Linked DNA regions of Xenopus tropicalis. The protein of the gene in region 1 purifies or fractionates together with the protein of each later gene. This does not show direct contact. Links are inferred from orthologs where the notes say so. Each region holds a gene or a part of one and is shown on either strand. Other genes may lie near its edges.

What was found.
Region 2: the proteins of tmprss6 (region 1) and hjv purify together in Homo sapiens (co-immunoprecipitation; 3 studies listed by IntAct). This does not show direct contact. The link is inferred for Xenopus tropicalis from reciprocal best matches to the Homo sapiens genes TMPRSS6 and HJV.

What each region holds. Positions count from the first base shown.
Region 1 is NC_030680.2:123,220,650-123,224,149, reverse strand, and holds part of tmprss6 (transmembrane protease serine 6), read right to left. Parts: intron 2,285-3,500; coding exon 2,148-2,284; intron 1,409-2,147; coding exon 1,250-1,408; 3' UTR 1-1,249. UniProt on the Homo sapiens protein: Membrane-bound serine protease. Through the cleavage of cell surface hemojuvelin (HJV), a regulator of the expression of the iron absorption-regulating hormone hepicidin/HAMP, plays a role in iron homeostasis.
Region 2 is NC_030684.2:128,550,467-128,553,966, forward strand, and holds part of hjv (hemojuvelin), read right to left. Parts: intron 710-3,500; 5' UTR 655-709; coding exon 576-654; intron 188-575; coding exon 1-187. UniProt on the Homo sapiens protein: Acts as a bone morphogenetic protein (BMP) coreceptor. Through enhancement of BMP signaling regulates hepcidin (HAMP) expression and regulates iron homeostasis.

The DNA of each region.
Region 1 (3,500 bases):
CTTAAAGTGGAAACCCTGCTGTGCAAGCAACTGAATTTTTCATATGACATCACCTCCCTTAAAGAAATGATAGTTCTTTAGTATCTAATGATACCAATATGTCTACAGTCTAATATACATAAAGTCTATTACGGTAGGTGGCTTTATATTTGATTTGGTTCAGCAGACCAAATGGCTGATTGGTGGGAATAATTCTGTTTTAGATGGCCATGTGGTTCCTGTGGCGGATGGCTGTTCAAGTCCTGCAAACAGGGCACTAATATGACTGAGATATTTGCAATGTCTCCAAATCTATGATCTGCACAGCTCCATACATTATTGTATTCTTTATGTGAAGTATTAATAATAATAACAAAGCTCTTTTTTTTGCTTTAGATATTTTTTTGGCTTCTAGGCCTCTATTACACAGGAAGATTAGTATTTGCTCCTTGTAGCTAAATGTACAAGCAGGTACCATGATAGGAAACAATAAAAGCTGTTTCTAGCCAGCTACATGTAGTATCTACTAAATATAGGTGACATGTAGCTGCCATTCAAAGACTGATATTGGCTATGATTATGTTTTCTGTGATGTCCTCTGTGTAGAGCTTATTTAGATTGAAAAGACTAAAAGATCTCTTTAGAGGATGACTACACCAAGCCATGGATGCAGTCATCTCCTGATAGTTCTCTACGAACTCCCCATATGATATCTTTGTTAACTCTATGATAAATGATTAGATGAAGGTTATTTGGCTCACCCCTTGGTTGGCCAAGCAGACAAAGATCCATGATACCTTGATAGGTCTGTACGAACCCACCATATGCTATTGTTACCTCTGAGCCAAATGATTAGATAAGGCTTATTTGGCTCACCTCTTGGTTGGCCAAAGCAAACAAAAATCCATTGATTTGGAGACCTCAACAAACATGAGATCTGCCAGTGTATGGCCAGATGAAGATGAATATATATTATATTCAGTTTCTCAATGAAGCCTTATATGTTATATTTAGTTTCCTTAGAAGTGAAGGTTACAAATGTAGAACGTGTTTATCTAGGAAGCTTGAAAATAAACAAATTAAAAAGTAGCTTCTAATTCAAATGTGGGCATGTGGTCAGTCTTCACAAAACAAATACATTTAACTGATGAACTTGTATGTGATTCCACAAATGGTGCTTTGAAACATTCTTCTGTTTTTTCTTTAATCCTTAGAAGTTCCACTACTTTGTTGACTGTTTTCTAATTTCATTATGTAGAAATGACTCATTTTACAATGTGATAGATTCGATCCATTGTACAAGTCTTGTTATGCGGCTATACACCCCAAAGTATCTGGGTATGCCACAGCCAGCCCCCCAGCTCACCAAACCTGCTTGGAACCAACGCCCACTGGCAGTTTTACAAACCAAAGGGCTCCCGGAGTCACCCTAGGAAATACACAAAAACAATCAATGTAAAATTCTTTATACGCTCACTATTAGATAATATTAGATAACTGATTATTCTGAATCCTACCAGCCAAACTGAGGCTTATTAAAGTGGAGAGGAGAAAACTCATAGTTCTCATAGTGCTCATAGTTTTCCACAATATCTTCCTGAGCAGGGGCTACACAATCCTTCAGTGTTCCCAAACTCTCATACAGCAATTTATGGAATGAGGGTCAGCAGTAACATGTTCTATTAAAATCAATCATCTTTATTCTGCTTTATTTGAGGAATCAACAAGACCAGAGCCTTATGTGTTTCGTGTGTTACCACCCTTAGTCATAGGCACCAGTGGTAACACCCTTACACATAAGGCGTCTTTGAATGTAAAGGGTAAGCCAAATATCATTACTGAAGCAGAAAGGTCTTGCATAGAATGATATCTGGTGAGTGAAGGAAAATATAACAAGGGTTGAACTTGCCCGTCACAGGTACAAAGTCAGTGATTGGCCGCTGGTATAAACCCATTTGCCAAAAAGAGCACTTATTAAGCTGCATTTCAGGATGAACTATATATAGGCTGGATCTAAGAGTTAATCATGAGGATATTATTGTTTATAATATTTATTTTTAAGTAAATAAAGTATGTATTTGTAATATCTGTCTGTGTTTGAAGTAGAATATACTGTGGGCTTGTGGCAGTGCTGAAAGTAAAAGAATAAATACTTTTAGTGTAGATACCTGGCATGCATCTTTACTGCCATCACGATAACCAGCACAAAGCATTCTTGGTGAGATCTGGTAGCGGTAAAGTTCGGTACAGATATCCTGGGCGACAAGCTGAATATCTACCTTCTGGAGCACATCACTGGTGGGACCTAAGGACAACAGCGTGGATAATGCATATGCTCACAATGTACTTAGAATTGCAATATAACATTAGACCTGGCACATTAGTGCTCCTGCTTAGAGGGGTGCAGTTGTCTCTAATAATTTTATTACAGATTTCAAGGACAAGAAAGTCAGAACCATGAAATATTATCTTGAAACTAAGTTATCAGGGCTGTAAGGACAGATAAACAACTTTAACACTCTATGGCTTATACTAGTGTTGGATATTGATTCTTTAGGCCACAAATTATTGTATGCAGTTACATGAAGCCATTTTCTTTGTATTTGTCACTAGAAATACCTTCTCTTCTTAACCATTGTATCCATGTGCCCGGCTGGCTAGTTATGCCATATACAGCAAATATCACAACATCCAAAAGTCACTTATTTTCAGGGTTGACCCCTGCAAGGAACTGTGGTAGACAGTCTATATGGAGATTTGTAACTTACTGCTCCACCTTCAGAAAAGTGAATCTCCTGTAATTCTTGATTAGCAACTGTCCCACCACTGAGTATAGCTTGGCATAGTTGCACATTGGAACCATTTAACCCAAATGAAAGTACATGGAACAAAATAGCCTAACACAGTTTAGGGTGTCCTCCTGCTTTTGTTTCAAACAGTGCAAGAGCAGACACAGCTCTGAAGGAAAACGTATTTCATTATCGTTGTACTGGGTACTTTGTAACAAAATCATTAGAAATTATTCATAGTAAGCTTTTAATGATAGGAGCTTACTATTCATAATTTATAATGATTTTGTTACAAAGTAAGTACCCAGTACAAAGATAATAAGGAAATAGTAAGTTTCCCTTCAGAGCTGTGTCTGCTCTTTTTTGTTACAAAGTGCCCAGATTACTACTGACCTGTTAGATATGTAAAGGGATGTGCGCAGCTCTAACAGTGTGCAACAGGAGTTTCAATTGGTTTCCCCCAAAAAAACTAATATCCACTTCCAAATAGTCCCTGACTGCTACACAGCCCTTGTTAGACCTCTTTGAGGGAGCATCTCCAAACTATGATATGATACAGTTTTCTGTTCCTGTTGGTAGGTTTGGTTACTAGCCAAGGAAGGTATGTTCTCTGTGGATATTTTGTTATCACATAAAAAGTATGTGGCACAGCCTACAAGTACTGTTGTATAGAAACACAGAAAGAATGAGGGTTAGTGCAGCCATATTTATATCATGGTGATTCCTTATCAG
Region 2 (3,500 bases), on another chromosome or scaffold:
ATGATGTGCACTGCAGAGTGGTAGATCAGGTCTCCGCGGCAGGTGCGGGCAGTTTTGCGGGTACATTGGGAATAGGAGCGCAGGGCATTGCACTTCTGAATCTCTGCATTTCTGCCGGAACCCCTCAAGTTTAATGTAGCAGACACATATTCTGAATTGCATTTGATGATCTTACACTGGGCATTCACTGCAGGAAAATTAAAGAGCATTATTAGGCTTGCAGCAGAAATGTAGGTACAGATCTACCTATTTAGGGACCTTGGAAAACCAGTGGATCCTAATGTGCATTGTCAACTAGTCAATTGGCATCTTGTTGTCCCATGTATGGGGCCAAACATAGAAACACCCAGTTGATATATGGCTAGAATGGGCCCACATATCTATTAAACTAGGTGGAAAATACCTCTGGACAAGGTCCATATTGGAGCACTATGGCAAACCAGTGGAACCTAATGTGCATGGTCAACTTAAACTATAGATAGAGAAATGATAAGACCTAGTCAGCTTTATTGGGGAAATGCTAAATGACATGCACCTCCTGGTTAATGCGTGTTGGTGTAATTAGCCCTCGTTACCTTGCTCGCAGAAGATAAGCAGAAGGACCGTCTTGAAAAGGACACTGTCTAAACATGTTGGAAGATGGCGTTTACCCATTCCAATCTATCACAATCGCCCTCTGCTTTCACCTCCTCATCGACTCATCCTCTGCCTGTAAAATAAACAGGTAATCTGTAAGGAATCAGCTTGATATAAAACAGGAGATACAGCATGTTCTTCTGTATAGACAAGCAAATAATTCTAATTTTTAAAAATGATTTCCATTTTCTCTGTAATAATAAAACAGTATCTTGTACTTGATCCCAACTAAGATATAATTACCCCTTATTGGGGGCAGAACAGCCCTATTGGGTTTATTTAATGGTTAAATGATTCCCTTTTCTCTGTAATAATAAAACAGTACCTGTACTTGATCCCAACTAAGATATAATTACCCCTTATTGGGGGCAGAACAGCCCTATTGGGTTTATTTCATGGTTAAATGATTCCCTTTTCTCTGTAATAATAAAACAGTACCTGTACTTGATCCCAACTAAGATATAATTACCCCTTATTGGGGCAGAACAGCCCTATTGGGTTTATTTCATGTTTAAATCATTTTTTAGTAAACTTAAGGTATGGAGATCCAAATTACAGAAAGGTCCCTTATCCAGAAAGCCCTGAGTCCCGAGCATTCTGGATAACAGGTGCCATAACTGTACTAGAAATCCTTTGTTTTTAACCCAAAAAAGTGCGATTCCCAGGAAAGCCTCACTTGCTCAAGGGAAGATGAAATTAAGGGTTCATCGCCGTAAAATGAGCTTGGTGCTTTCGGCACAGATGAAATATTTTGGGCAAAAGGACTAGATGTAATTGCAGATTTAGGAGCTGGCTAAATTATGGATATGACACATCCCAGCTTGGCCGGCCTGAGCCGTCGCTTCTTAAATCTCAAGTGGTATTTAAACGAGTGGGCAGTTGTCCAGCACTCAGTGAGTCATCCCGCGCCTGTGCCAGCAGTTCTAATCCCGCAGCTGGCAGGCCTGCTAAGTGCCGCTTATGAAAATTCCCACAGTCCTGAGAAAGTGTGGAAGCTGGCACTGGGAAGGGAGTAAGCTGAGACGGCAGCGCCGAGTGAGGTCACCGCGCTTTCCAAAAACCCTACTGCAAATTATCACCCCCAGATTTTATTATCCAGCGGCAGCACTGCTACAGGGGGGAGCCCACCTAAACTAACTGGAGAAATCATCAATAGAAAGAAATAATATTGCAGCCTCCCTGTCAGTGTGTTGGTTGCTGGGGTCACTGACCCCACAGCCAGCATTTTTAATCGCAGGCCGGAAAAAGGCAGAATAGAAATGCTAACAATTCATACAAAATAAATGGGTCCACATATAAAATACAGAGTGACTGCAATAAACATGGCCTACATTGGCTGTATGGGGCCAAGGCAAAGCCCTCCCTGACCCTATATTGTATCAATTAATCTGTATTTTATCTTTGTGCTATCGTTAGATAACATTTTTTTGGGCTACGTTGACTGACCCTTGTAACTAGGCATTTGTTTCAGTGCCAGAATGAATAAACAGAAAGGTATATCTTCCCAATAAATATTTCTTCTGGATTCCAGGATCACTGACCTTAGCAACCGGACAGCAAAGTGATACTGCTGACACATTCCAGCTTTTTACAGGAACATATCAGTATCATGGAATAAGCCTACATAGTGCTATTCATAAAACCCTTGCTCCACCCCCACCCCAATTTGCCTGCTACTTATCTGTGCATGGGTGGGAGATATTGTTTATATTGGTGCTTCAGCCATATTAGGTCTTAGCCCTGCCCCCCAAGTGTGACATCACAGCTTCAGCAGCAGTGGAAGAAGGCATCATGGAGTCGGACACAGGTAAGTCAGAGGGTGAAGCAGGGCTAAGAGGGTAGTTTAAGAAAGTAGAAATAGCGCTAAGTAGGTTTTTAAAGTGATACTGAGTTTGATCCAGAGAAAAGATGGAAGGTGTCATTATCACTTTAATTTCAAGTTTTTGGGAAAGTTTACAGATGGACCATAATAAATGTATATGTTGCTTCCATGTCAGGAACTTTAGAGCAAGTTCCTGTAGGGATATAGAGATCTTAAGTGTGGGCTTGGACCCCCACCCCCCAAAATGTAGGAGGTACTAATGTGTGGGTTGACAAAATCCTGACCATTACCCAAACCTGGTACAACCTAACAAGCCGTCATTCTTTATATACCCGCCCCTTTGGGATTTATAAAAATCACAGCAGGTCTAGTAACCCATAGCAACCAATAATATTCTTGCTTTTTAAACAAGCAGTCAGTTAATGCTACCTATTAATTGGTTGCTATAGGATACTAGACCCAATGCAAAAGTTTGTGACTTTTATTACATTCCCCCCCACCACTAAGAGAGTAAAATCACGGCGGCTTTGTTACACTGTGCCGTGCTATTGCTGCGCGTTGCTTTCCCCTGTAGATTAAATGCTCTGCGGTTGAATTACACAGCACTGCACGTCCCATGGGCCAGTTTCCATGTATATTAAAGGTTGTATCAGTTTCCCTGTAGCCGCCCTGCTCCGTGCTTCGGTTACCGAGTGAAATGCAAGCTCTGTGTGCCGGTTTAGCTGCTTATTAAAATCCCGGTATCGGTTTCCCAGCAGATGAAATGCTGCGGGGCTCAGGTTCTGTGCTATTCAATCTGTAAGTCACATTTCCTGTAAGGGAAGAGTTCTGGTCTGGGTTTTCCCAAAGTGGGCCAAATGCAAGCTGTGTCAGGTTCTGTGGGTTTTACTAGCTCTGTGGCATGAGATTTCCTGCTGGCTACACTGGAGCCCACACACCACTCTGTGATACTAATGGCTGTTGGATTATTTAATGAAACTGTTGTAAAGGGTAACTTAACCCTCTGTGGGTATTTCCCCTTATCTTATCTTAAATAGGCTAC